4 linked regions of the Elephas maximus indicus genome follow. The protein of the gene in region 1 interacts with the protein of each later gene in a pairwise test. Links are inferred from orthologs where the notes say so. Each region holds a gene or a part of one and is shown in the gene's direction. Other genes may lie near its edges.

Evidence for each region.
Region 2: the proteins of EMILIN1 (region 1) and protein BEX5-like interact in binary tests that used the Homo sapiens proteins (3 or more experiments, as listed by UniProt). The two-hybrid records come from large-scale screens. The link is inferred for Elephas maximus indicus from reciprocal best matches to the Homo sapiens genes EMILIN1 and BEX5.
Region 3: the proteins of EMILIN1 (region 1) and NMI interact in binary tests that used the Homo sapiens proteins (3 or more experiments, as listed by UniProt). The two-hybrid records come from large-scale screens. The link is inferred for Elephas maximus indicus from reciprocal best matches to the Homo sapiens genes EMILIN1 and NMI.
Region 4: the proteins of EMILIN1 (region 1) and ZC2HC1C interact in binary tests that used the Homo sapiens proteins (3 or more experiments, as listed by UniProt). The two-hybrid records come from large-scale screens. The link is inferred for Elephas maximus indicus from reciprocal best matches to the Homo sapiens genes EMILIN1 and ZC2HC1C.

What each region holds. Positions count from the first base shown.
Region 1 is NC_064830.1:45,440,827-45,448,195, forward strand, and holds the start of EMILIN1 (EMILIN-1), read left to right. Parts: upstream 1-4,355; 5' UTR 4,356-4,827; coding exon 4,828-4,997; intron 4,998-5,948; coding exon 5,949-6,074; intron 6,075-6,533; coding exon 6,534-6,754; intron 6,755-7,369. UniProt on the Homo sapiens protein: Involved in elastic and collagen fibers formation. It is required for EFEMP2 deposition into the extracellular matrix, and collagen network assembly and cross-linking via protein-lysine 6-oxidase/LOX activity.
Region 2 is NC_064846.1:55,282,410-55,289,992, forward strand, and holds protein BEX5-like, read left to right. Parts: upstream 1-4,820; 5' UTR 4,821-4,890; exon of another isoform or gene 4,891-4,916; intron 4,917-5,969; 5' UTR 5,970-6,032; intron 6,033-6,438; 5' UTR 6,439-6,467; coding exon 6,468-6,809; 3' UTR 6,810-7,063; downstream 7,064-7,583.
Region 3 is NC_064824.1:48,472,121-48,479,555, reverse strand, and holds the start of NMI (N-myc-interactor), read left to right. Parts: upstream 1-4,424; coding exon 4,425-4,603; intron 4,604-7,435. UniProt on the Homo sapiens protein: Acts as a signaling pathway regulator involved in innate immune system response.
Region 4 is NC_064828.1:87,778,005-87,785,574, forward strand, and holds the start of ZC2HC1C (zinc finger C2HC domain-containing protein 1C), read left to right. Parts: upstream 1-4,557; 5' UTR 4,558-4,635; exon of another isoform or gene 4,636-4,711; intron 4,712-4,733; exon of another isoform or gene 4,734-5,180; intron 5,181-5,567; 5' UTR 5,568-5,586; coding exon 5,587-6,921; intron 6,922-7,570. Other genes in the region: DNA mismatch repair protein Mlh3, read right to left, coding at 4,191-4,353.

The sequences.
Region 1 (7,369 bases):
GAATTCCCATCCAGGTTGGCCTGACCCGGTACCCAATTCATATTATCCTTCCCTTTTATTTCCTCCCAATATTCAGTCCTCTAACAGAGGGCATTAGGCATAAAATGTTCCCTTTTGCTGGTGCCCCTGGGAACATGAACTCATTGCTCGGTCAATGGTGGTTGAGGGAATGAATTAGTTGCCTAGTGTGTCTAGTTCCATTGCCACTAGACCCTTGGAAATCCCCAGTTTTGGAGAGGTTATAAAATAGGTCCTGTTCTAGTACCCCAGAGACTTAGCCTTGTTTTGATCTCAAGAACTCTTTTGCCAATTGCATTGGAAATTTTTGGTTGCCTGCCAAAACCACCATACCACCACCACCATATCCTATCTAACCTTCACCTCCATTGTAGCCTGATTGCCCACACCTGAGGCCGGCAATGGGCACCATCCTCCCCAATGAACCTGGAGCAACTAATTTATTTGATACCTCACAAATGTTCATGTCGGCTCTTAGGTTTAGGCTGTCTCCTAATTACAAGACGAAACGAAATGCAACCTACTGCAACTGTACTTCAAAGCCAACATTTTTCACTTGACACAGTTAAAATGTACAACAGATTTTTAAACTTCACGGGCCAGGAGAGGGAATGGAGACAACTGGGCAGTGATAAGATGTCAGGGAGGTCTTTGCAAGCTGCCAAGGGAGAAAAGAGTGAGAAGGGCAGGGAAAGAAAATCCATAGCAACAGTCAGGGAAAATCTGGAGGCGAAGTGGTCTGGCTTCCTGCCAGGGGTGTGGCCAGGGCCTAGAACTGAGGCAGAGACCAAGGACGAAGCTGCAACCTTCCCATGACAACTTTGAAACCGGCAGCTCCTGAGACCGTTTTCCTTAAGTCCCCTTGTGTGCCAGTCTAAGACCTCTAAGGGACAACCACACATTTTTGTTGCTGTTGGTTCCAGCCTTTACTTTCACCATTCTGTCTTTTTGCCAACACTTCTAGCCATCAGGGTCCCATTCTGGGCCATAGGATCTCAGAGGCAGATCACTCAGAGTCACATCGGAGATCTGGTTGCATCCATTCTCATGACTTCCTACTATTGCCTGTAAAAATGATTCCCCGAATCAAGACCCACATTTCTAACCACCTCCTAGACATTTGGAAACCCTGGTGGCATAGTGGTTAAGTGCTACGGCTGCTAACCAAAGGGTCAGCAGTTCGAATCCGCCGGGCCCCCCCAAGGAAACTCTATGGGGCAGTTCTACTCTGTCCTATAGGGTCGCTAGGAGCAGGAATCGACTTGGCGGCACTGGGTTTTCCTAGACATTTATTTCCTCTGGGATATGTTATTCTCATCTTAAACTCACTATGTCCAAACTAAAGTTCTCTCTCTTTCCTTCAAACGTGCACCTCTTCCAGACTTCCCCATCCTGGCTAGAACCCTGGAATCTTCTCTGGTGTCTCCCCTCATCTGGACCCTCATTCCAGAGGCAGTCACCAAGCAGTTACCATCTTCCCATTCTTTCCATGGTCACTGCCACCACCAGAGCCCAAGTCTGCATCACCTTGCAATGTAGAATTTGCAAGGGACCTTAGAAAACTAAGAGCTCCTTCCTTGTATAAGAAGACTGATGCCCAGTGGAGTCATGGGATTTGCCCAAATTTATAATGCTAGTTAGAGGGCCAACTTAATTGTGCTCATGAGGAATCTGTACATGAATCAAGAGGCAGCCATTTGAACAGAACAAAGGGATACTGCATGGTTTAAAGTCAGGAAAGGTGTGCGTCAGGGTTGTATCCTTTCACCATACCTATTCAATCTGTATGCTGAGCAAATAATCTCAGAAGCTGGACTCTGAAGAAGAATGGGGCATCAGGATTGGAGGAAGACTCCTTAACAACCTGCGTTATGCAAATGACACAACCTTGCTTGCTGAAAGTGAAGAGGACTTGAAGCACTTACTAATGAAGATCAAAGACCACGGCCTTTAGTATGGATTGCACCTCAACATAAAGAAAACAAAAATCCTCACAACTGGACCAATGAGCAACATCATGATAAATGGAGAAAAGATTGAAGTTGTCAGGGTTTCCTTTTACTTGGATCCATAATCGACACCCGTGGAAGCAGCAGTCAAGAAATCAAAACAAAAACCGCATTGGGCAAATTGGCTGTAAAAGACCTCTTTAAAGTATTGAATAGCAAAGATGTCACCTTGAGGACTAAGGTGCGCCTGACCCAAGCCATGGTGTTTTCAGTCATTTCATATGCGTGTGAAAGCTGGACAGTGAATAAGGAAGACCCAGGAAGAATTGACTCCTTTGAATTGTGGTGTTGGTGAAGAATATTGAATATACCATGGACTGCCAGAAGAACGAACAGGTCTGGCTTGGAAAAAGTACAGCCAGAATGCTCCTTAGAAGCAAGGATGACAAGACTATGTCTCACATACTTTGAATATATTATCAGGAGGGATCAGTCCCTGGAGAAGGACATCATGCTTGGTAAAATACAGGATCAGTGAAAAAGAAGACGACCCTCATCGAGGTGGATTGACACAGTGGCTCCAACAATGGGCTCAAGCATAGAAACAATTGCGAGGATGGCACAGGACTGGGCAGTGTTTTGTTCTGTTGTGCATGGGGTCGCTATGAATCAGAACTGACACAACCGCGTCTAACAACAACAACAACACAACAACAGTTAGAGGAAGAGCTGGGACTAGTATCCTTGTGCGTTGGCACCCTGCTTATTGCTCTTACTGATAATTTCTTCTTTCTGTGCGTGAATGTATTCTTTTACTCAAAAACTTGTAACCCTAATTTGTCCACAATCTACCTCTCTGACTTTTTTCCTCACTTCTTCCTGACACAAATAAGAACTAATATTTATCGAACATTTATTATGTGCCAGGCACTGTTCTAAATGCTTTACACATATTAATTTGCATAATCCTCAAACATCCATAAAGGGATGTGTTATTATTATCCTGGTGCTACAAATGAGGAAACTGAGGTAGTCCACTGCCTGAGCCTGAAATCTCTCCCTCCCCTCCTCTCTGTTCTTCACTTTCTTTTTTCCAATGCTCGTCAGGTCCTCTCTGTTCCAACAGCTCTACTCTGATTACCCCTAGCATCCAGCTACCTTACCCCTCTTACCCAGAACACTTAATCATCCATTTGCCCTGCCCTCCTTGGCACTCAGTGTATCCTGCCTTGCGTTAGTTCTCTGTATCGGTGTTTGTGTCCCATTCCCCGTGAGAGCCCGAGTCACTCCTTAGCGGACAGTGACTGAGTCTTCTATGCCTCTGCTATCTGGGCACTTCTACAGTGCATAGCGCCTGGCATACAGTGCTCTCTTTCTCCTTTCTGTCTAGAGCTCCAGCTTCTCTCTCTTAAGCCTCCCACCACACAGGGAGATCCTGGTCCAGGACACAGCACTGAGGAATAGATAGATGGTGAAGGAGGACCAAGCTTACAGACTCAGGTACCTCACAAGGAGCTTTGAGATCAGGCTAATGGCTGAATGTGACTGAGGACCGTATCTGCTACAGAGGCTATCAGATTTGTCTCCAGGTAGGGAGTGGCTTCCTTTGGTGCTGTACAGATAAGTCCCAATTCACCCCACCCCCAGTTATGACCTGACCGTCCTCACCATGGCCAGCCTGGACCCATAGTCATTTGGTCCTTGAAGAAGGAGATTCTCCTGTTGCCTGTGTCCTTTCCACTGTTGGACAGAAGACTGCCCTCCTCCCATCTCCAGATTCCTGTCTTCCTCTTCTGTGTTCTCTGAATTTCCTGCCTGCCTCAGTGGAGTCCTTTCTTCCTTTTCCTCCCTGGCCCAGGGCCTCTCTCCCCTCTCCTCCTTTTTCCCAGGACAATGGCCTGGGTTTTTAGATTCTAATCTCAGCCCTACTCTTGAATTGCTGTACTACCTTGGACAAATCACTTCCCTACTCTGGTGTCAATTTTCACATCTATAAAAGGAATCAGATGGACAAGCTGGTGAATGATGTCCTGAGCCCTGCAAGTTCATTCTCTCCTCTACAGTCCTTCTCTCCCCGCTGGGCCCCTCTCCCAGGCGAGGCCTGCCCTAGCCCCAGGAGAGCTGTGGTTCTGGCTCCTGTTGCCTGTCTATGGACCAGCCCTGGGCCTCCTCCCCAGCTCTGGCCCCGGCTCCATGTGGCCCATCTGAGAGGCTGGCCCCAAGCCCAGTGGCAACTCCACATTTCTCTGTTTTTCCTTTTTTTTCCCCCTCTTTCCCTGAGTTAACAAGAAGCAGATGTGGCGCACGATGGTTGGAGAGGTGGGAGGGGAAGGGGGAGGCTGGATCGCCAGCCAGACAAGGGGGAAGGGAGGGGAGTGAGCAAGGGAGGGAGGCAGGAGGCCAGGGCCCGCCCCACAGCCACCCCTTGTGCCTCTGAACAGCCACAGGGGCAAAGCCCTGTCACCCCCAGGATCTGGTCATCAGGGGAAAAGGACAGGGAGACCAGAGAAGAGCCAGCTGGGGCTAGGGGGCGGAGGCCCAGGAAGCAGCATCTGAGAGGGGCAGGGACCAGGCACAGGAGGCCAGGGGCACAGAGAACAAACTCCCCTCAGAAGTGGAGAAGAGGAGAGCGGAAGGAACCAAGGGAGGGACAGACGGGAGCCTGAGGAGGAAAGAGGAGGGGGAGAGGGGTCAGGCCAGGCAGCCAAGGAAGAGACGGTGTGGGGGCCGCAGGCAGGAAGCCTGGGACGGGGACAGCGAGCTCTGTCCTGCCGAGCCGCGGCATCCCCCAGGGCCGGGCAGTGGTGCCAGCTGCCAGGCCGGGATGTGCCACTGAGAGCTACCAAGGAGCGCCCCAACCATGGCCCCCAGCGCCCTCTGGAGCTGCTACCTCTGCTGCCTGCTGACCGCCTCCGCGGGGGCAGCTAGCCACCCTCCTCGTGGCTACAGCCTCTATACGGGGGGCGGCAGGGCCCTCAGCCCCGGGGCGCCCCAAGCCCAGAATGCCCCGCGGCCTGCAAGCAGACACAGGTAAGAGGAGGCCCAGCCCCAGGCTGGAGGTGGATGGGTTGGCTGGTTGGAAGGTGGACATGCTGCCACCGCGTTGGCTACCCTGCCCTGGGCTGTCTCCCCAGGTGTAGGGAAGGGGGGAGAGAGGAAAGCTTATCCATCAGGTAGCTCCTCAAATGCCCACCTTCCCAGAGGTCTGTTTCCAGGGCCCCCTGCACTGATTGGCTCCCGGGTAACCTGAGGGGGATCAGCGCCCACATCCCCCCAGGGGGACCTGTAGTTTGGTGCCCAGGGAAGCCACCCGTAGGGGTGTGGCCAGGCCTTCCTGACAGCTGCCTGGTGAGTGCCAGCCCAGGATCCTTGAGCAGATGTTTTGTCCTTTCTAGGGCTTCCTTGGCCCCATCCAGTAATCTGTAAGTCTGACACCACTCTTGCTCCCGAGCAGGACACAGATCAAAGGCCAGCATGAATGGGGCAAGTGTGTGGAACTGCTAGCCTCAAGGGAGGCAGGGTTCATCAATAGCTTATTCTCTACTTAACCTTGAACTGGATCATGGCCTGCTCCATGTCTTCTCCCCTGAGGCACCGGTGGATGCCAGCATCCAGGGGATCATCCCCAGGGACCTGGCCATCCGGCTCGCACAGGGCATGCCAAGATAAGACTTGAGAATGGGCCAGAAATGGACACAAATAAGGGTGTGAATTCAGAGGCTCTGCAGGTCCCCACAGCCATGAGTACTGACTTCTCTGGTTGTGCTTTTCCATTTTGGGCCTCTCCCATCTTGAAAAGTCTTTATCTGCTCCTGGTGCACAGGAAAGCATGGGAGAGCTGCCCCTGCCAAAGCCCTGGCTCTCGCTGGTTGCCCAGGGCCCTTCATTTTCTGATGTCACTCAGTCCCGCTGGTAGTCCCTGGGGCCTCCTCTGGGGCATGTGTCTCTGGTCCTTGGGCCCAGGTGGGGTTGTGTCTACAGGAACTGGTGTGCCTATGTGGTGACCCGGACAGTGAGCTGTGTCCTTGAGGATGGAGTGGAGACCTTCGTCAAGCCCGACTATCAGCCGTGTGGCTGGGGCCAGCCCCAATGTCCCCGCAGTATCATGTGAGCTCCCTCTGCTGGGGCATGGACTGGGCCAGTGGGCACTTGGTGGGGGCTGACCAAAGGCCAAAATATTGGTGGCCAACTCAGGGAATTCGTACAAAGCAAGCAGGCAGCAAGGGGCAAGACTAGGCAGCCACAGTCAGAGCCATTTTGAGGAGATGCTATGGCAAGTTTGGCTGGTGGGATACCGAGGGCAACCCCACCTAGACCACGTGCCAACCCCCAAATGCCTTCTGTGGGCTGGGGCCATCCTCAAGGAGAGGAGTTCAAAGTTCCAGCACAGGGCAAGGAGAGTAAGAGCAGTGATTTGGCCCTTGGCCAACAAGCTGACAGCTGTCAACTGAGCAAGGCCACATGCTAGACACTAAGGGGGACCCAGCTGCTCATCTCTGAGGACAGGGGCCAGGGCCACTGATAGGACAAGGAGGAAATAAAGAGGCCTCCCTCCACCTCTCCCAGGTACCGAAGCTTCCTCCGCCCTCGATACCGTGTGGCCTACAAGACAGTGTCGGATATGGAGTGGCGGTGCTGTCAGGGGTACGGGGGCGATGATTGTGGTGAGGGTCCTGCCCCAGCGCTGGGCCCCGCTTCTACCACACCACGCCCTCGGCCCCGGCCTGCCCGCCCCAACCTCTCTGGCTCCAGTGCAGGCAGCCACCTCAGTGGGCTAGGGGGAGAAGGTGAGTAGGGAGCTGCTGGGGAGAGAAGTGGGAGACCATCCTAGGTGGAAAATGTGGGGCCGGGTTGCTGAGGAAAACCCCAGACTGCTCTAAGTCAGGGGAAGGAAAGGGAGAGAAGGGAGCTGATGAGATCCCTGAGATTCTCTGTGTGTGTGTGTGTGTGTGTGTGTGGTGTGTGTGTGTGGTGTGTGTGTGTGTGAGAGAGAGAGAGAGAGAGAGACAGAATAGTGCTCACATGCGCCCACTTGTGACCAAGATGCTTCCTCATTGGGAACAGCTGTGGGAGGAAGGGGGATTCCATTGAGAAACTTGGTCCTTGGGGATAGACAGTTGAGACTACAAGTCCTAGCATGCACTGCAACATGTCCCAGGCCCCTCTGGCCTTTGGTGACTGCAGGTCCCAGAATGCAGCAGTCCCTGTTGCTTGCTTTCCCTTGCGTGTGTTCCAGGCACTCCGGATGGGCTGTTTCCCTGCCAGGGAGATAGCAATAACTGTGCTTATTGGCATCCTGGCTGACTAACTAACCCACTACAGCCCCAACAAGCTTGCCATGGAGCCTCTTGTTTGTCCCAGCGGTGTTGTGGGGAGCGCTGCCCAGTAATAGCCACTGTCAT
Region 2 (7,583 bases), on another chromosome or scaffold:
GCGGAGCTGCTGGGTGGGTTTGAACCACGACCTTTCAGTTAGCGGCTGAGCGCTTAAACATTGCACTAGCAGTGCTCCTTATATAAAAATCAAAAAAAAAAAAACCAAACTCACTGCCGTCGAGTCGATTCCAACTCATAGCAACCCTATAGGACAGAGTAGAACTGCCCCCTAGAGTTTCCAAGGAGCATCTGGAGGATTTGAACCACCGACCTCTTGGTTAGCAGCTGTAGCACTTAACCACTACACCACCAGGGTTTCTGCTCCTTATATACAGAGTAACATTTGTTATATTCTATTTTTAATGGTTTTAGGTTTTTTTATTTAAACATTTTTGTCTATCTTTTAACATATGACAGGAACAAGAGATTTTTTAATTTTTCCAATAGTTAACTAATTATTCCAGCACCATTTCTTCAATAATTTAACTCAAAATAATTCAGTCAGTTTAATAGCATTTCTCCATACTTGGGTCTGTCAATCAGCTTTCTCATCTTTTATTTCTTCTATATTTATTCTGGTACAATATTGTTTTAATATTGTTGTTGTTAGGTGCCATTGAGTCAGTTCTGGCTCATAGCAACCCTATGCACAATAGAACAAAACACTGCCAGGTCCTGCACCATCCTCACAACCATTGGTATGCTTGAGCCAATTGTTGCAGCCACTCTGTCAGCCCATCTCGTTAAGGGTCTTCCTCTTTTTTGCTGACCCTATACTTTACCAAGCATGATGTCCTTCTCCAGAGACTGGTCCCTCCTGATAACATGTCCAAAGTATGGGAGACGAGGTTTCCCCATTCTTGCTTTTAAGGAGCATTCTGGCTGTACTTCTTCCAAAACAGATTTGTTCGTTCTTTTGGCAGTCCATGGTATATTCAATATTCTTCGCCAATGCCATAATTCAAAGGCATCTGTTCTGCTTCAGTCTTCCTTACTCACTTTCCAGCTTTCATATACATATGAAGTGATTGGAAATACCATGGTTTGGGTGAGGCACACCTTAGTCCTTAAAATGACATCTTTGCTTTTTCAGACTTTAAAGAGGTCTTTTGCAGCAGATTTGGCCAATGCAATGTGTCATTTAATTTCTTGAGTGCTGCTTCCATGGACTTGGATTGTGGATCCAAGTAAAATGAAATCCTTTACAACTTCAATAATTTCTCCTTTTATCATTATCATAGCTTCACAATACTTCACAATACTTTTTATATGTCAGCATAACTTCCCAAATTATTGTTTGGAATTGATGAGAGATTTCAGTGCTCTATTGTGAAGTTGCCTTAATACAATTTAGGGAAGACCATCAGTTTGCCATTGGCTCTCAAGATCTGAAAATCTACCAGCAAGACTCTAATTAGACTCAGTGGATCTCCTTATGGAAGGATTGCACAAACAGGGACCCTTCACAAGGGGAACCACCTACTTAAGTTTATATTTCTATGTTCTTAAGAGGAGTTTTTTTTGGAGGGTATATATTTCAGAATTCATTGTCAAAAAGAACATTTCAAGATCTATCCTGAAGTACAACACTGTCAGTGATAGGATAATATCCATACACCTCCAAGAAGACCAGTTAATATGACTATTATTCAAATTTACGCACCATCCACTAAGGCCAAAGATGAAGAAATTGAAGATTTTTACCAACTTCCGCAGTCTGAAATTGATCGAACATGCAATCAGGATGCATTGATAATTACTGGTGACTGGAACGCAAAAGTTGGAAACAAAGAAGAATTGGTAGTTGGAAAATATGGCCTTGGTGATATAAATGATGGCAGAGATTGCATGATAGAATTTTGCAAGACCAGTGACTTCTTCATTGCAAATACATTTTTTCACCAACATAAACAGTGACTATACATGTGGCCCTTGCCAGATGGAATACACAGGAATCAAATCGACTAAATCTGTGGAATGAGATGATGGAAAAGCTCAATATCGTCAGTCAGAACAAGGCTGGGGTGACTGCAGAACAGGCCCTCAGTTGCTCATATGCAAGTTCAAGTTGTAGCTGAAGAAAATCAGAGCAAGTCCACGAGAGCAAAAGTACGACCTTGAGTATATCCTGCCTGAATTTAGAGACCATCTCAAAAACAGATTTCACACATTGAACACCAATGACCAGACGAGTTGTGGAATGACATCGAGGACATCATACATGAAGAAAGCAAAAAGTCATTAAAAAGACAGGAAAGAAAGAAAAGACCTAAATGCATGTCAGAAGAGACTCTGAAACTTGCTCTTGAATGTCGAGTAGTTAAAGCGAAAGGAAGAAATAAGGAAGTAAAAGAGCTGAACAGAAGATTTCAAAGGGTGGCTGGAGAAGACAAAGTATTATAATGACATGTGCAAAGACCTGGAAATAGAAAACCAGAAGGGAAGAACACACTAGGCATTTCTCAAGCTGAAAGAACTGAAGAAAAAATTCAAGCCTTGAGTTGCAATACTGAAGGATTCTACGGGGAAAATATCCAATAATGTACGAAGCATCAAAAGAAGATGGAAGGAATACACAGAGTCACTATACCAAAACAAAATGGTGAACGTTCATTTCAGGAGGTAGCATATGATCAAGAACCGATTGTATTGAAGGAAGAAGTCCAAGCCACACTGAAGGCATTGGCGAAAAATAAACCTCCAGGAATTGACGGAACACCAATTGAGATGTTTCAACAAATGGATGCAGCTCTGGAAGTCCCCACTCATCTATACCAAGAAATTTGGAAGATAGCTACCTGGCCAACTGACTGAAAGAGATGCATATTTATGCCTATTCCCAAGAAAGGTGATCCAACTCAATGCGGAAATTCTTGAACAATATCATTAACATCATATGCAAGTAAAATTTTGCTGAAGATCGTTCAAAAGTGGCTGCAGCAGCATATCAACAGGGAACTGCCAGAAATTCAAGCCGAATTCAGAAGAAGACGTGGAAAGAGGGATATTATCACTGATGTCAGATGGATCCTGGCTGAAAGCAGAGAATACCAGAAAGATGTTTACCTGTGTTTTATTGACTATGCAAAGGCATTCGACTGTGTGGATCATAACAAATTATGGATAACATTGGGAAGAATGGGAATTCCAGAACACTTCATTGTGCTCATGAAGAATATGTACGTGGATCAAGAGGCAGTCGTTCGAACAGAACAAGGGGATACTACACAGTTTAAAGCCAAGAAAGGTGTGCGTCAGGGCTTTATCCTTTCACCATACTTATTCAATCTGTGTGCTGAGCAAATAATCCAAGAAGCTGGACTATATGAAGAAGAACGGGGCATCAGGATTGGAGGAAGACTCATTAACAACCTGCATTATGAAGATGATACAACCTTGTTTGTTGAAAGTGAAGAGGACTTGAAGCACTCACTGATGAAGATCAAAGACTACAGCCTTCAATATGGATTATAGCTCAACATAAAGAACATTAAATCCTCACAACTGGACCAATAAGCAACATCACGATAAACGGAGAAAAGATTAAAGTTGTTAAGGATTTCATCTTTTTTGGATCCACAGTCAATGCCCATGGAAGCCGCAGTCAAGAAATCAAAAGATGCATTGCTTTAGGCAAATCTGCTGCAAAGGACCTCTTTAAAGTCTTAAAAAGCAAAGATATCACTTTGAAGACTAAGGTGCACCTGACCCAAGCAATGGTGTTTTCGATAGCCTCCTATGGATGTGAAAGCTGGACAATGAATAAGGAAGACCGAGGAAGAATTGATGCCTTTGAATTTTGGTGTTGGCGAAGAATGTTGAATATACCATGGACTGCCAAAAGAACAAATAAATAAGAAGTGCAACCAGAATGCTCTTTGGAAGCAAGGATGGTGAGATTATGTCTCCCATACTTTGGACATGTTATCAGGAGGGTTCAGTCCCTGAACATGCTTGGTAAGGTAGAGGGTCAGCGAAAAAGAGGGAGACCCTCAACAAGATGTATTGACACAGTGGCTGCAACAATGAGCTTAAACATAACGATTGTGAGGATGGCGCAGGACGGAGAGTGTTTTGTTCTGTTGTACATAGGGTCGCTATGAGTCTGAACCGACTGGATGGCACCTAACAACAACAAGAACAACATATTTCAGTTAGAGCGTTTGGCTGCTATCCAAAAGGTCGGCAGTTGGAATACACCAGCGACTCCTTGGGAACCCTATCGGGCAGTTCTACTCTGTCCTGTAGGGTGGCTATGAGTCAGAACCGACTCCATGGCAATGGGTTTGGTTTTTGTTTTGGTTATTTAATTATAGCAGCCAGAAAATAAGAATAAGAATGCATTCCGGTGGAAAACAAAACAAAAACAACCATGTCGTCTTATAGAAATTAACACAGAGGAAAATAATTAAGGTGAAAGTTAAAAAAAAAAAAAAAAAGCCACCTCCTACCTATCTTGCAGACTTTCTAGCTTTACAACTCCTCTCCCTCCCATCTCCCCCCACTTCTTGTCTGGGACAAAATTGTTAGGAGAAATGCTGGACTTTACTAGCTTGGGAGTGGAGATGAGAGAAGTGGGCTTTTAAGGGTTAGAAGAAGAAGCAAACCTTCAAAAACTCCAGCAGAAATAAAGGGAAAGGCAAACACAAACTAGAAAATATTATGACCCTATTGGTCTCTGGCATTACTAAATAGGATTAAAAAAAAAAAGGCGGGGGGCAGTAGCCTGTGGTTGTGAAGGGGAAGGCGGGAATAAGGAGAAAGGTGGCCCCGCCCACGCTCCTGCCTCCACCCTCCTGCCGCACTGCAGGTGTGAACTGTAATTGGAGATCTGAGCTCACAGTGACGTGGCCCTTAAGAGACCCACAGTCAAGGAGTGGAGAAGTCTCTCCTTCCAGTTGCGGTGTGGTCATCTTCTGTGGCCTGCAGTCCAGAGAAGGAGGAAGAGGTAAAAGCTGACCCCGATTGTTGCAGGTTGGTGGGCTCTGACTGGCGTGGCGGAGGGCAAAACCAGAGCGGGTCCAGGACTGGATTCTCTCGACCTCTTTCCCCTACGCCCATCCGTTTGGTGTAAGAAATGAAGGATTCGTGGGGAGGAGATCCGGAGCGGCCAGGTTGGGAATAGGAAGCAGCTCGGATTTTCGGGGAGGCAGGCGAGCTGGCAGGCGGTGTCCAGCGGAGCGGAAGGGCAGAGGGAGGGGACGGCGGACCCCGCAGAGGGTCCAGGTCTGCATTCCCGGCATCTCCTCTCAAACCTCGGTGCATTTTGGAGCCAGAAATGGTGGACTACGGGGGCCTGAAGGGGGTACTGCAGAGGAGGGGGACAAGGGCTCGGTCCCTGAACCCCTCCTGTATCCCTCCGTATTGCAGAGGAGGCGGTTGAGCAGGTGAGCTTCTGACTGAGGGAAAGAGGCGGGGAGCTAGAAACTGTTTCTGATCCCTCCAGGTCGGTGTAGGCGTGGGCGCGGCTTGCAGACCTTGGGGTAAGAATGACAAAACTCAGAGACCGCAGTGGGTCCTGGTTTGCAATGCTCACAGTCCCACACTGTGACACCCGCCCTTCGTCCATCTTGATGCATAAAATGGTGGGTAGTGGCAGGGGGTAGGCTCTAGAGAGGGCGTGGGTCCCAGACGGGCCTGGCGGATACCCAGATTGAATTTTTTTTTAATAAACCACGTTTCCACTCAGCAAGCTCTCCTGACTTCCTTGCCTCGCATGTTGCCCATTTGCGTGCAAGAAATGGTAATTAGGTGATGAGTGTGACGAGACAGCGGGGATAAGGTGCCTAAGGAAGAGGTTAAAATGGTTTAAAAATAATCATCTTTGATTATGATGGGTATTTCTGGAGAGAGAGATAGCACATCACAGGACAGGAAAGGAAGCCCTGAGACAGGATGGTGGAGAACCAGAAGGTGGCAACACTTGATAAGGAGAGCCCTAAATCAACAACGGAGCTGGTGCCCCCATACTGGTCTTTTGATCAAGTGGGCAGTGCCGGCCGGCCATTTTCTCATTTCTGTCTGCAGGTCTTAGGTCCGTTGGCGTGGCAGATCTCAAGGCTAAGAGAAGCCTGCCTTAGATCCCTGCAGGTAAGGGGCTGCCTGGGGCCCTGTTGTATGTGGGTATCAGATCAGAACAGAATCTGGGGTACTCACAGCCCTCCCTGCCAGAGTGGTGGGCCAGTGAGGGGTGAAGAAGGGAGTAGTGGGGCAAGGTCTGGGATGCCCCTGGAGGGCAGATCTGTATCCCAGGAAGCTGAGACCTAGTCTCTCGCTACTGCCCCGCCCACCGGCCGTCCTCCATTTTGGTGCCTGGAGGGGCCAGGGGAAGGATTTGCAGGGAAAATGGTGGATTTGGAGTGGGGAAGGGAGAGGGTGGGTTTGGGGAGCCCCCTAAAGGGCTCACAAAATCAGGTGGGAAAACCTTTACCAGCCAGAGCTCTGAAACCTGTTGTTATCAAGCATTCGATTCCTTTTCTTGCTTTTTTTCTCCTAGGAAGAAGAAGCAGGGAAAAAAATCTCAACATGGAAAACGTCCCCCAGGAAAATGAAGGGAGGGAGCAGGTCCCCATGCAGAATGGAGAGGAAGCCCGCCCTTTGGAAGGGGTTGAAGGCGAGGAGCCTGCAGGAAATATCAGAGGAGGCCAGGCTCCACCTGCGCAGGAGTTTAGAGGGGATGTGCCCAATAGGCTTGTCAATAACATTGATTTGATCGATGGTGATGCAGATGATATGGAACGGTTCATGGAGGAGATGAGAGAGTTAAGGAGGAAAATTAGGGAGCTGCAGCTGAGGTACAGCCTGCGCATTCTTATAGGGGACCCTCCTCACCATGACCATCATGATGAGTTTTGCCTTATGCCTTGAATCATGAGGCTAATAATCATAAACCTCCTGCTTCTCAAACTTAAATTTTCTTGATGTACCCTTAATGTGAACCTTTTGGTGTTCTGTCATTTTCTGACTGGAGATTTCATTTTGACCTGGTCTGTTAGCTTATCTGTCAGCAGGGGAGTTTCATCAATTTGCATGGAAAGATGTTTGTTATATATTGTAAAGTTAATAAAGCAGTTTAAAAAGCAGCCTATAGATAATCTCATTTAAAAGCTTGCGTATTTATAGTATATACATATATATGAATAGAAGAAAAGTATGAAAATATAAAAAACAGAATGTTTTATTTCTATGTGGTAATTAGTCTTGTTTATCTTGGCTTTTTTTATTTTCATTTTTCCAAAATACATATGTAGTACATGTATCAGAAAAAAAGGTTTTAAAAAATTGACAGCATGTGAAGGGAATGGAGACAATAAATACCTGAGACACAACATAAAGACGTGTAAATCTTGTACTACCTCTGGATTTCTTATTTAGAAACACAAACGTGGTACAGTGAAACCTGTGAGAGCTGGAACTCAGCAGGACTGCCTTGTTTTTCTGGGTCTTGCAAGTGTTCTGCCTTTGACCAGGTGCAGTCTTAGCGCTTCTCTATACCTCGTTTTAGTGGAAAATATTTTAATTTTCCTTCTCCGACAGGTTTGTGCCTTACACAGGCTCCAGCTTTTGCAGGTTTTACTATAATTATTACAGATACATTTATTAAAAGTCAGGTTATTCATCTATACCCCGGTGGCTTAGTGG
Region 3 (7,435 bases), on another chromosome or scaffold:
CACAAATGGTTTGCATTTGGCTGGTAACTGAAAAGTTGGAAGTTCAAACCCATCCAACAGCACTGCAGAATAAAAGGTTTCTGCAGAATAATTAGCTTCTGTAAAGATTACTGCCAAGAAAAGTCTGTGGAGCAGTTCTACTCTGTAATACGTGAGGTTGCCATGAGTCAGAATCGACAACAACACAAGATAACACATCTGTTCTCCTGTTATTTTTACTTATTTAGAACACAACATTATGCTTTAGGTGAACGTTTACATAGAAAACTAGTTTTCCAATCAAAGATTCTTATACAAATTTTTCCCTTACATTAATTACAGTCCCTGCAATGTGTCAGTACAATTCCCATTTCCTCCCTGGGATCCCCATTTCCCTCTCCCTCCCAGCCTTCTCATCTTTGACTTTGGTCAAATGTTGCCCTTTTGGTCTCATATAGTTGATTGTTCTAAGAGGCACATTCTTTACTGGTGTCTATATGAAGAAGAATGTGGTATCAAGGTTGGAGGAAGACCCATTAGCAACCTGCAATATGTAGATGACAAAACCTTGGTTGCTGAAAGTGAAGAGGACATGAGCACTTACTGATGAAGATTGAAGACTACAACCTTCAGTACGGATTACACCTCAACATAAAGAAAACAAAAAATCCTCACAACTGGACCAATAAACAACATCATGATGAACAGAAAAAATATTGAAGTTGTCAAAGATTTCACTTTACTTGACTCCATAATCAACGCCCATGGAAGCAGCAGTCAGGAAATCAAACGATGCATTGCATTGGGCAAATCTGCTGCAAAAAATATCTTTAAAATGTTAAAAAGCAAAGACGTCACCTTGAAGACTAAGGTGAACCTGACCCAAGCCATAGTATTTTTTAATCACCTCATATATCATGCAAAAAATGGACATTGAGTAAGGAAGACCAAAGAAAAACTGATGCCTTTGAATTATGGTAGTGGTGAAGAATATTGAATATACCATGGACTGCCAGAAGAATGAACAAATTTGTCTTGAAAGAAGTACAGCCAGAATGCTCCTTAGAAGGGAGGATGGTGAGAATCTGTCTCATGTACTTTTGTTAACAGGAGGGATCAGTCCCTGGAGAAGGACATCATGCTTGGTAAAGTAGGGGGGTCAGCAAAAAAGAGAAAGACCCCCAACGAGATGGATTGACACAATGACTGCAACCATGGGCTGGAACATAGCAATGATTGTGAGATGGCGCAGGACCAGGCAATGATTTGCTCTGTTCTACATAGGGTCGCTATGAGTAGGAACTGACTCATAGCACCTAATAACACCTAATGACAGTACCTAACAACAACATTATTTGGCTGAAAGGTGGCTTCTGGGAGTATCTTCAGTTCCAAGCTGGAAGGTGTTTTAAGGCAAAAGTCTCTTGGGTTCCTCCAGTCTGTTCTAGACCAATAAGTCTGGTCTTTTTTTCTTTTTTTTTTTAAATTTTGTTCTACATTTTTTACGCATTCTAACTGGGACATTCTATGTGATCCAGGTCAGAGTGGTTGTTGGTGGTAGCCAGTCATCATCTAGTTCTCCTGGTCTCAGGTCAGAGGAGGCTGTGGTTCCTGTGGGCCATTAGACCTTTGGACTAATTGCTTCCTTGAGTCTTCAGTGTTCTTTGTTCTCCTTTGCTCCAGGGAAATCTCCCACTCTTCTTAATGATGAAATGTTTGGGTGGGCATGAGGCTTGCCAAGTGATAGATTTCACTCCTACATCTAGGGATGGCTGTGACTAATTTCTGGCTGATAGAACGTAAGGAATAAAAGAAGGAATAGGTGAATGCAAATTCTGGAACGTAGAGATGAAAATGTGGGTGAAAGAGGCACCACAGAGATTGCAGAGCAATGTGATAGGAAGTCAGGATCCTTGACACTGTGGAGTTGCCACACCCTTATGCTTTTTTTATGCTTAGAATGTAATGTGGGAGAGAAGTTAACTTTAACTGCTATTTTGTTCAATTCACTCTTAGTACTTTTTGTTGTTGTTGTTTGATTACTTTGTTTTGTTTTACTGCCACCAAAGCTATACCTTAAATAATAGACAACAATATCTTATGTTGAGGAAGTCAAGAATTATGAGGACAGTGATAAAGAGGAAGGGTGAAAATGAAAGGAAGAAAGAAAAGAAATTGTTAAGTTTTTTCGCGTGAGTCATTTTTAACTTTCACTAATATAAAACATCATTCCTTGAAGATATTAAAAAAAAAATTTTTTTTATTCTCATTTTATTTTTAGAACCTTTTAAAGACCTTCTGCGTGCTATGTAACTTTGAATTTTGTTTTAATATAAAAAGGTTTGAGAAAAATAGTGTTATGTTCTATCCGGCAGTTGACAAATCTTAGGTTTATTTTGTTGTTAGTGAGAAAATGGAACTCCTTCCTTCTATCCCTGCATTTGAGTCAGAGATGATTTTATGCAAACTGATTACATTTTTTTAAAAAAATAGCTTTTCTCTGGTGATTCATCATCTTTTTCATTTATTCCTGCACCACGTGTAGGTTCTTGGGTTGGGAGAAGATGATGTTAGGATGATAATGTTTTATTTAACATTGACTGAAAGAGTTCAGAATGCTGATACTACAACTATTGCTTTTAAGAAATAAGAACAGAATACTCTTTAGAGGTTTATTTTTTTCTTTGTTCTTTATTATTTAATAGATGTCTAATTTACAAACAACAAAATATACAAATCTTAAGTGCTCAGTTCAATGAAATTTGATAATTGTATCCACCCATATGGCTACCAACCTAAAACAAGACATAGGAGACTTCCAGCACTTGAGAAAGTTCCCTCATGCTCCATTAAGTCAATATCCTTCATACCTCCAAAGGCAAGCACTGTGGATTTCTTTCATTGCAGATTACTTTTGCCTGTTTTTGGGTACAGATTATCTTTCTTTAGTCTGGAGCTTGCATTCTCTTAGCTGCTTCAGTTGTACATAGACCCACCATTCAATTTTTTTCCTTCTAAATGTTATTTTGTTGTTGTTGTTGAGAATATACACAGTAAAACATAAACCAATTCAACAGTTTCTACATGTACAATTTAGTGACACTGATTACATTCTTCGAGTTGTACAATCATTGACCTACCACTCATTTTGCTGGTAGTCTTCTTGGGCACAGGCTTTAAATAGCATGTAATTTCCTCTGCTTGGGCACCAGTAGATTGATAAACTTCACTTTTATTTAGTGCCCTATTCCTTCATTCTCTGCAACACCACCACTTAAGGTTAAAATATGTTTTTAAACTTTACTAAAGGGTTTGGTAGGTGACATACATTTGTCATTTGTGTACTCTGAATCTTTTGAACACTTTCTCTGTATCTTGATAGTCGTCCATGGTATAAATCCTTGCATCTCAGTGAAGAATCAGACAGAGCTTCCAGCTTCCCTGTTGTTATGGGCATATATGTGTTCATTTATCTGACTTGAATCTCAGCAGAGCCAGTGTTGTTTTCAGGCTGGGAGCTGTGTGGCCAACTTCTCAATAATGGCAGGTGCAGCAGCAGCCTATTTAGCATAGGGCTGAAGGGGTGTCTTAGTCATCTAGTGCTGCTATAACAGAAATATCACAAGTGGATGGCTTCAACAAAGGGAAGCCTACTCTCTCACAGTCCAGTAGACTAGAAGTCCAAATCCAGGGCGTCAGCTCCAGGGGAAGGCCCTCTCTCTCTGTCAGCTCTGGAGGCAGGTCCTTGTCATCAGTCCTCCCCTGGTCCGGGAGCATCCCAGCGCAAAAACCTCAGGTCCAAAGGATGCGCTCTGCTCCTGGCACTGCCCTCTTGGTGGCGTGAGGTTCCCACATCTTTCTGCTCACTTCTCTCTTTTATATCTCAAAAGAGATTGACTTAAAGACACCACCTAATCTTGTAGACTTCATCAGCATAACTGCCACTGATCCATCTTATTACATCATAGTGACAGGATTTACAACACATAAGGAAATTACATCAGAAGATAAAATGGTAGACAATCATACAACGGAATCATGACCTAGTCAAGTTGACAGATATTTTTGGGGGACACAATTCAATACATGACAAGGTTACCCATTTCTGTTAAGTTAATTCCGACTCACAGTAACACCACAGGACACAGTAGAACCGCCCCATGGGGCTTCCAAGGCTGTAAATCTTTACGGAAGTAGCCTGCCACACCTTCTCTTGTGGAGTGGCTAGTGGCTTCAAGCTGTTGACCTTTTCAGTTATCAGCTGAGCACTTAACCACTGTGCCACTAGGGCTCCTTGAATAAATCATGCTTCTCTGTGTCCTATCCCTATGTACTATGTCCTTGCCGCTCACTTCAAGAAATGAGTCTCCACTGTCTGGAATCTGGGTCAGCCTTGACCATGATGCTGTGATGACACCCTGACACACAGGCTAGCCTACTGAAGAATGACAGACCACATGGAAGACCAATGTTCCCCAGGCAACAGCCGGCACTATGGTCTCAGATATGCGAGCAAGACCATCTTGGATCTTCGAGTCCAGCCTGGCTTCGACTTGAATGCAGCTACAAGATCAGCAGCCCAGAGCCCAGATGGGGCCCACAGAACCATTCAGAATGCCAACCTGTAGAATCAGGAGAAAAAAAAATTATTATTTGAAGTTCCTAAACAATAATAGGCTGGTTTGTTACGCAGCAATAGATAACTGAAACAGAAATGTGGGTGCTGTTGCCACACAAATTTAAAGCATTGGGTTTGGATCAGGCAGCAGACTCAGGCTAGAAAGGAAGCAAGAAGACTACTAATGGAGGCTGGAAGAATAGTGAGGAAAATTGCTATGAAGGCTGGGAAAAGGGCAAAAGGTGCCACCATATAGTAGTGAAAACATGAGTGAAAATGTCACCTGCTATAACTTGGAATAAAACTGGAACTGGCTAATGAGAATATTGAAGGTGCCAAATGGCTTCTTTTAGCTGAATATGAAAAGGTATTGTAAAAGAGAGATGACCTAAAGAAGGAGCTATTCTCCTTGCAAGCAGAATAAAGAGGAAGTATGGACTACCCAGGGCTTGCTGGGTTGAAAAATACCACACTTTCTCACTCCTAGATTTTCTATAAGGCAAAAAAATTTCAAGGTAAGAAAGTGTAAAGACCAAATCAGGGGTGCCTACAAGATCCCTTGTTTAGAAAAAAAAAGCTGCAGTCCAGTCATTCCCACTCACGGCGACCCTTTGTGTGTCAGAGTAGAACTGTGCTCCATATGGTTTTCAATGCTGTTTTTTTTTTGGAATCAGATCACCAGGCCTCTCTTCTGAGGCACTTCTGGATGGACTTGAACCTTCAACCTTTTGTACCAGCTGAGCAGTTTAACCCCTTGTACCACCGAGGGACTCTTAAGACTCCTTGTTAAGATCTATGAAAAGTTTAAGATAATGTCTAGTAGAACCTCAGCTAGACAAATGGGCTTCTAAGACCCTTAAGGGTGTTGTCTCATTGTAGCTTCACATGAGGTCATAAGGAAGGAAAAAAGCATTTTCCTAAGTGGAGCCTATAATAAGTAGAGTCACTTCTTTCGTAATGCACATTATGTCCCAGGTCAATGTTAGTCCATTTTGTGTGTCTCTCCCCTCTGTCCCCTCCCCCCATCTCAGTCTACAATTTTTGGAGTAAGAAACAGCGTTGCCCCCTTTTTTTTTCTTTTGCCATTTTGAGTCACACATATCATTCCTAAACCAGTTGCGGTTGAGTTGATTCTGACTCATGGTGATCCCACAAGTGTCAGAGTAGAGCTGTACTCCATAGGGTTTTCAAAGCTGTGATTTTTTGGAAGTAGATAGCAAGGCAACTCTGGGTGAGTTCAAACTGCCAGCCTTTCAGTTAGTAATCAAGCACTTAAGTATCTGTGCCACCCAGGGACTCCTACACCATTCCGAGTTCTATGAAAATTCAATCAAAGCTTCGAAACTCAGGCTTGTAATATTTTTAGGCAAGGGACTTCCTTTCCCCCAGTCCGCAGTTTCCATGTTTATATTAGCCATCTATTGCTATTAAAAAAAAAAAAAAAATTACCATAAATTTAGCAGCTTCTGTGGGTCAAGAATTTGGAAATGCATATTTGTTAGGTGGTTCTGTCTCAGGTTCTCTCAAGAGGTCACAGTCAAGCTGATGGCCAGGACTGTAGTCATCTCAAAGCCTGACTAGGGCTGGGGAATCTGCTTCCAAGCTCACTCATGTGGTTTTGGCAGGCCTCAGTTTTTCACTGGTTGTTGAGTAGAGGCCTCCATTTCTTGCCAGGTGAGCTTTTTCATAGGCTGCCTGAGTATCATTACAACATGGCAGGTGGCTTCCTCTAGAGTGAAAGATCCAAGACAGAGAGCAAGCAAGGGAGGGAGCGCCCAAGTTGTATGCCACTATCTTTTATAACAATCTCAGAAGAAACAACCATTACTTCTGCTGTATGCTATTGGCCACACAGATCAATCCTGGTACAATGTGAGGGGGGCTCAATACAGGAGGGAATACCAAGGGGGAGGGGTCACTGAGCACCATATTAGAGGCTGGCTACCACAGTTATGTGTGTGATTTTTTTTCTCTAGTTACATTTATCTATCTTCATTATTGACCATCGAAGATTAGTTGTGGACTCTTGGGTTCTTATTCTTCTTCATTCCTACACCTGAAACTCCCTAATCCAACATAAATGCAGATCACTGTTTTCTGTGACACTGGGCACTGCTAAAACGGGAGAACAATCATGACGTTTGGTGCCACTAGAAATTTCTGATCTCCATTTTTTTTTTTTTTTATGTTAAGTTGGCCCCCATTGTTCTTCAATAAAACTTTTATACTCGTAAAAATCCGTTGCTGTTGAGTTGATTCCAATTCATAGCAACCCTATAGGACAGAGTAGAAACGCCCCATAGGGTTTCCAAGGAGCAGCCGGTGGATTCCAACTGCTGAACTTTTTTTTGTTTAGCAGCCATAGCTCTTAACCATTGCACCACCAGGGCTTCAACTTTTACACAGCTCTGTTAAGTTTCTTTTATTAATTTCTGTCCTACAAGTATTCTAAACTTTTTTTTTTTCCTCATTACTGTGGGGTGTTACTGCATCTAGGCCGTCTCAGCGGACAGAGCTAGGATCTAAGCTTTTTCTATTTTTCTTTTTCTACCCTGGTCCCTGCGTGAGGACTTTCTTCTAAAAAATTATGAACGAACGTCCTTGCTAATGATTTCTGTAGCAATTATTACGTATCTGAATGCATCAGTGAGTTTAATATATGACTCAGTGCTCCCAGTGAACAAAATTTTGTTACAAGCTGCATCATTGAATCTCAGTAATTATAAAATTAACATTTTTCGAGTGGAGAAACCTGATTTGCCAAACATCACCACGTTTAACATAAACAGCATATTTCATTAAGTCAGGCTTGTAAACGTGGCCCAAGGCAGCAGCTGA
Region 4 (7,570 bases), on another chromosome or scaffold:
ATACATACAGGAAGGAGCACTTAGGATACATTCAATCATTCAATAAGTATTTATTGAGAGACTACTGTGTGCCAGGCACTGCTCTAGGTGCTTGACACACACAAGTGGACAAAACACACAGGATCCCTGCCCCGGAGGAGCTTAGATTCTAAAGGTTAAACATCACAAATAAATAGGATACATACAACCTACAACCTTTCTGCCCTAACTTTTTCTTCCACTCCTCCCCAAATTTGGGGCCATGCCTAGGTCTGGCAGGAGAGACAAATGTACAAAAAGTCCTCCCCGCAAAACAAACCAACCAATCCAAAACCGTTGCTTTCGAGTCCATTCCAACTCATACCGACCCTATAGGACAGAGGAGAACCGCCCCACAGTTTTCAAGGAGCAGCTGGTGCATTTGAACTGCCAACCTTTTGGTTAGCAGCTGAGCTCTTAACCACTAAGCCACCAGGGCTCCACAAGAGGTCCCATTTGGGGTTATTTCTTCTGTGTTCTGGAAGCTGCCCATCATAATCTAATTTACTAAGAAAATTTCAAATAACACTTATCTAAAAAAAGAAAGCACAATAACTTCATGGCTCCAGAATCACAGTTGAGTCAGACAATCTAAGGCAAATAATCAAATTGCATGAGTTTATTTTTGGAAAAGAGAATTGTCTAGGGAGGTTGTGGGTTAGGATGGTTAAAATTAGGGTCCAGTTGTAGGCATCTGAGTCCAGCTAGCCTTATGATTAATACTGTGTATAAAGGAAAGCTGGTATTTCTCGTTGCTATTTGGACTGCTTGTATACATTACCTCCCTTCATACCATAACCCTCCACATGTGAATATGCCAGGTTGGCTGGTTTGGTGAGACAGGCTTCCAATGGAGGCTCTGGTGAGTCATCACTCCACTAGCTTTCCACTATAAGGAGCCCTGGTGGTGCTATAGTTAAGCCCTCAGCTGCTATCTGAAAGATTGGCAGTTCAAGCCCACCCATCAGGTGTGCAGGAGAAAGACCTGGCAATCTGTGTCTGTAAAGATTACAGCCTAGAAAACTCTATGGGGCAGTTCTATTCTGTCGCACTGGTCACTATGAGTCAAAATTGACTTGATGGCATCTAACAACAACAGCTTTGTACTATAAAGTGAGAATCCAGATCCTAAAGAATCACAAAGCCTGAGTGCTGGAAGGGGCCTGGACAGGATGTTATGCTTGGCAATATTTGAAAACAATGCTAAGCAAAGTACCTGGCCGATGTTATTTCTTTTTCTAAAATTTGTTTTTTAAAATAAATTTTTTCTATAGAATTAAAAACTTACGTAGTATCTACAAGGTGCAGGACACTGGAGGATATACAAAGATGAATGATGCATAGTCTTTGCCTCCAAAGAGTTTTTAATTTAGTCTAAAGAACAAATATGCATGCAAATAATGACAATACAATGGACAACATGGTAATTCAATTCCACGAACACCCATTGAGAGTCATCATGAGCTTGTCTTGTGCTATAACAAGGACAGAAAATAGTATGCAAGCACAAAGGAGCAAAGAGATTAATTCTGACTGGAAAGCTTGAAAAGGCTTCTAGGAGGAAGCAGCATTTTATCCAAAGTTACACAACCACAACCTGTAAGTGGTGGAGCTGGGATTTAGCCCGAGGCAGTCTGAGTCTGGAACCTATCTCTATAAATCATATGATCTACCACCTCCCAGTACTAGGAGCTGTGGTAAGATATTACCACTGAGGTGAGAGAGTGCAAGCAGATTACCACTAGAGGCTCTCAACCATAGCTGCTCAGTAGGCCCTTTGGGGAAGTTTCTAAAAATACCAATGCCCAGGCCTCATTACCAGGTACTGCTTTCCAGGTAGTCCCAAAGTGCAGCCAGGGGTGAGAACCACTGGACTAAACTCTGGTATTTATTAAGAGGAGGTAAGGCTGGAAAATCAGGTGGACCTATTCTGGGAGGTTGGAATGCCATGCTAATTACAACTTTATTCTACAGGTAAAGGAGCCAATGTGGAGAAAAATGATAGGATCCTGAGTATTTTGGATGATTATTCTGGCAACAGCATGAAGTATGAGTTGGGGACATTGCAGGGTGGTATTGTCCAGATGAGAAGTGAGGAAGAGCTCACTTAGGACATAAAAATGTAAAGGAGGATCATATATGAGAAACACTGCAGAGGTAAAGTCAACAAAACCTCCCGATGAGTTAGAAGGAAGGGGTGACAAAGAGGGAGGAGTGGAAGATTACTGACGCTCTGAGCAGGACAGGAAATGGGAGAAGTACATTGGGAATGGGAAGATGATCATAAATTTGTTTTCTGTCATATTTAGTTCATGGTTTGTCTTAGTTTCTTAGTGCTGCTATAACAAAAATACCACCAGTGGGTGGTTTTAAAGAATGGAACTTTATTTTCTCACAGTTTAGGAGACTAGAAGTCCAAATTCAGGGCACCAGCTCTAGGGGAAGGCTGTCTCTCTGTCCACTCTGGGGGGAAGGCCCTTGTCTCTTTTCAGCTTCTGTTCCTCAGTTCCTTGGGGATCTTCATATGGGGTGACATCCATCTTTCCCAATTTGTGCTTCTTTGTTTCTATGTCTAAACTGCTCCTTTTATATCTCAGAAGTGATCAGCTTAAGACACACCCTACATTGATATGGCCTTATTAACAAAGAAAACCCTATTCCCAAGTGGGATTACATCACAGGCATAGGGATTAGGATTTATGACACATATTTGGTGGGGGGACACAATTCAATCTATAACAAGGTTCCTGAGAAGCATTCACTTGGAGATGCTAAACTGGCTGTTGGAAATTAAGTCTAGAACTAAGTAGATAGACTGAGGCCTAGAGCTGGATATCATCTAAACAGAGGTGAGAGCTGAAATCTCAACGTTTTGCTGAGATTATTAAAGAACAGACTATTAAGAAATAAGAGGGCTTTGGAGAAAACCTAAATTTAGGAGGCAGGTGGGGTAAGACATAATGCCAGAAACCTAGAAGAAAATGGAGAGAGGACATGGGAGAAGAAATTGAGAGGGCACAGAGGCAAGTAAGAAAAGTGTTTCAAAGGGATAAGTAATCAATAATATCAAATGAGTAGGTTGAAGAAATAGAAACTTTTGTCTTTGGTCATTGGAAGGCCGCTGGTTAAAGTGGAAAGGATGGAAGCCAGACCACAATGGACTGGACAATGAAGGAGAGATGTCAAAGCCGGTGCAGCAAAGGTAGAGTTTTCTATTAAGGGGTCTTGTGGAGAAGAAGAGAAATAAATGGACCCTAACATGAGAAACGGCAGATCAAGAGAAATGAGGTTTGTTTAGCAGGGGGCGGTTAAGCGTATTTTTAAAGCCAAAGAAAAGGAGTATGTGGAGAGGTGTAACTTGGGGTTAACACGAAGTTAAAGTAATGGAGTCAAGTCGTGGAAGGCCCTGGAAGGGATTAATTCAAGAGAACTCCTGAAAAGCGAGACCCTTCCTTGTCAGAAACAGAGGAAAGGAAGTCAGGATGGAGGAAGGCATGCTGGGAAATTCTGCCAGGGCGGAGGGAAGCAGTGGGAGACGACAGGCAGGAAGGGCCCACTCTTAATTAAGATGATTGGGACCGTGAGAAGTATAGAAAACGCCTGGAACTGCACATACGTTGGCAGTAAAGAGTCAACTAGTAATGAATACAAGGGATAAAAGGATTGCCCTGGAGGGCCCACCAAGGAATTTCTTTGTAACACGTGAAGGCTGTAATATGACATGCTGTAGTATTAACACTGACTGCTGCTGTCTACATCATTTTCCATGTGCAGGAATCTTTTGAGTAGTTACAAGAAAAAAGTCAGATGTCTGTTCCAAACAGCTTACACAAGTGAAGTGAAGTGTGAAGAAGACAAATAAACTCTCTTCTGATGTTAGCAATTTATACAGTATCGTTTACTGTTGAAACCAGGTTATAATGATTATTTTCAATCTGGCAGTTAACTTTGTTATCATTACATTTGGCTTAGTCATTTCTGGGTCCTTAAGAAGACCAGGCCAGAGTGACAACGTGAAAAGAACACATCGTAAAATCAAAATAATTAAATTGGCCACAAAAACTCTTCTGAAAAGATACTGCGTAGCAAAACCTAGCCAAGTTGCTACAATTTGACTGCAAGCTCAAACCTATCGGCGAGGAAAAGCACGAGAGATAGTAATACAGCCATACCTGGGGCCTGTGCACAACAGCCGAGAGTGCTGAGAAAGACTATTAGAAGGCCTGCTCCAGCCAAGTGGGTGGACACCGGAATCTGGCAGCAGAATGACTCCAGGGCACATCTAGGGGCTACATCCTTTGCCAGAGAAGGGCACACCCCACGGTCTGGGAACATCGTTCTCAGAAAAACTGCAAGTTCTTTTTTGACAGAGCCCCGGAAAAGCTTCTCCCGCCCCCACCCCCGCTCCCCAAGGAGTTGAAGACTTGGCAGAACACCGGGTCCAGTGACACAGGCTGAGCGCGCTGGCTGCCCCCGCCTCTCCCGACCGCGCGGACTGCGCCTGCGCGCGCTTCCTTGGCGGCGTTCCCGGCGGGAGGCGGGGCTCCGAGCGCTCCACGCCCCTGTCGCCAGGCAACCGGAGTAACAGAGGCCCGCCGAGGGCGCCTGCGCAGCACGGTCGGTAGGGGTCCTGCGGTCCGGTAGACTAGGTCCTGGGGCTTACTCCGAGCGGGAGCGGTCCCCGGAGCCTCAGGTACGGCGGAGGGGAGGGGAAGACATGGGGTCAGCACCTCGACGTCCTGACTGCCCAACCGCCAGGGGCAGGGAGCGAGGGCCTGTCCCCGAAAGTGGAGTCCCCAGTGGGGGCGCCCGGTTGACCCCCCAGGACCGAACGTGACTTCCGCTTTCTGGATCTAAACGCAGCCGCGGCAGAGTCAGGTGGCCTCTACCTCTCAGGGTACACTCTCGCCGCTGTCTGCCCGCGGGGACTCCTTGGATGAGGGTTTGACAACCAGGCGCCGGTTCCTGGCCCTGAGCGGCCTCTGTGCACTTTGGAACCAATTATGGTCCCAGCAGGAGGGAACTGGACAGCTCTTTATGCCAGTCACTTAACTCGGGGCCGCCGCTTTCTAATTTGCAAAGTGGTGGAGCGGGACTCGAACTCCTAAGGTACCTAAGCTCCGGTCATGTAACTCTAACTGGCTGAACCCCTCAGTTTACAGGTAAAGAAACTTGGGGCCCGCAGGGGGCGGGTCGCTTAACCTGGGTCACGGACCTAAAACCTGACTTCCAATCCAATGCTCTTTTCACCTACTATGAATAATACTGTGTACGACAGGAGCAGCCACTGTGTATGGCAGAGGTTGGTCCTGGTGGAAAGGAAAGCTAGGGGTAGGAAGGCAACACTCGTGTCACATTTGTTATTCTATCTTTAGGGGCTCACATAATAGGCACTGACAAAATGCTAATTGGATGGAACTCTGGCAGACCCAGCACCACTGTCCCAAAAAAGTTTAAGGGAAAACGTGGGTTGGGCAAATGTAGGAAGTTTACTTTAGCAGCCTGGAGTGAACCTCAGACAAACTCTTCACGTTTTAACTCTCCCCTAGGCTTCAGTCCAGGCCCTGAATGGCTGGTCTCCAGTTGGCACCACATCTGCCTGTGGGCGTTATGCTCCCATATAATAAAACGGAAGCTTCAGGGCTCCACTCAACCAAGCAAGACCTTTATGAACAAAGTGACTCTTCCCAGCGGTCCTCAGTGGGGCACCAGAGAGACAATATTCAGCGGAAGCTTTGGAGCAACAAAGAGCTGGTGCTGGATAGTCTCTACACTCACCCCAAATGGAACACGCTCACAAAAGCCGGGAGTTACTCTTATCCCCGCTGTGCTGGAATCAGCCAGCAAGATTCAGGAACCAATTCCCAGGGCCAAGGAAAGGATTTGTTTTACTCCTCAGACCCTCAATCCTGGCATCCCAAAGCAAATAACCAAGACACCATCCCCTTTACAAAGAAGCGAGTTGGGGTAGACCGGGCATACCCACTGAAACCTGTGGTCTACCGGAAGTCTCATAGTACAGGTGAGACTGGTGCTGATGAGGATCAGAATGTCTTTTCAAGGCCCCCTGAGCCAGGAGACTTTTCATACAGCAGCTTTGGTTCAAGGAACCAAGTGAATTCATCTGTGGTTGGTCCTGTTCTTGTTGCCATGCAGGGGCAGAGGGTCAGGGCAAAGCTTGACAGGACTGAGCGGATGCAGATCCAAAGACTAGAAGCTGCAGGGGAGAGCTTAGAGGGGGAAATCCGAAGAAAGGAGACCCTCCTGAGGGAAAAGCTGAAGAAGACGGAGAAGGAACTCAGACGAATCCAGAAGGAAAAGGAACAGGCCGAGGGAAATGAAAAAAGAGAGCTACAGAGAATGACACTCTCCAGGAGGAGAGGTAAAGATAATACTAGCAACACCACGTACAAACCTGTCTTCTCTCCTGAACTCAGGCCTGAAGAGGTGTTCAGCAGAGACAGGAGAGAGAGTGAAACTCGGGGACAGTCGAAAGAAAATTCTAGTCCATTCCAGTTCCCTGATTATGGGATACAGAGGCTCAAAAGGGAAAGACTGATGGCAAGCAATAACAAAATCCAAGACCAAGTCTCAGGGCCATCAACAGAGAAATTTTCTCAGCCTTCAGAAGCACCAGGCAATGCTTTGTGGAGATCCACCAGCAATTCCAGCCTGTTCAGGGGACCAGACTCCTCAGGCTACAGCTGTTCCTCTGAAGAGCCCAAACTCGGCGAGTGCAGCCACTGTGGACGCAAGTTTCTCTTGCTCAGGCTGGAGAGACACTCCAACGTTTGCAGCAGGATGCAGGGTTCCAAGAGGAAAGTGTTTGATTCCTCCAAGGCCCGGGCTAAGGGCACAGAACTAGAGCAGTACCTGAACTGGAAGGGACCAGCCTCAGTCAAGGTAATGAGAGCCATATCAGTTTGACTTTATGTGAAGAGTATTTTAAGGGTCTGTTATATCCTCACCAGTTTCCTTTAGAAAAATTTCATGTGTCATGTAGGGAGAAGGTGAGCATTAATATTTATTAGTTGCTGCCCATGTCCACTCACTGTGATGGGAGCTTTTTATATCCTCCTTACCACACTTTGTGAAAATCTCATTATCTCTAATTTTATCAGTTAAAAAATCCAGGCTCAGAGAGGGTAAGTAACTTACTTAAGGTCACAAACAGTTTTAAATAACAGAAGCAACATATAAATTTGGGTCTGAGTGACTCCAAAATTTAGGCTTCAAGTATGTGCTCTTGATTATAATCATAATAAATGTTTACTGCAGAAAACTTAAAAAACCATATATATATGTGTGTACATATATAAAATATTTTACCTCCCTGAAAGAACTCTTTGTTCTTTGCAACATACTCTGCCACATCCCAGGACTATGATCTGTTCCCACTCCTGCGACCTTACCTATTCTTACAAGAGTAGCTCAGTCTTGATATACCTTCTTGGTAAATACATGAAATGCAAGCAAGTTTGGAATTCTTCTTCTCCCCATTTAGAGTGTAAACACCTTTCTTTTTGGTTATCTTTCAAAATGTCCCGAGCTG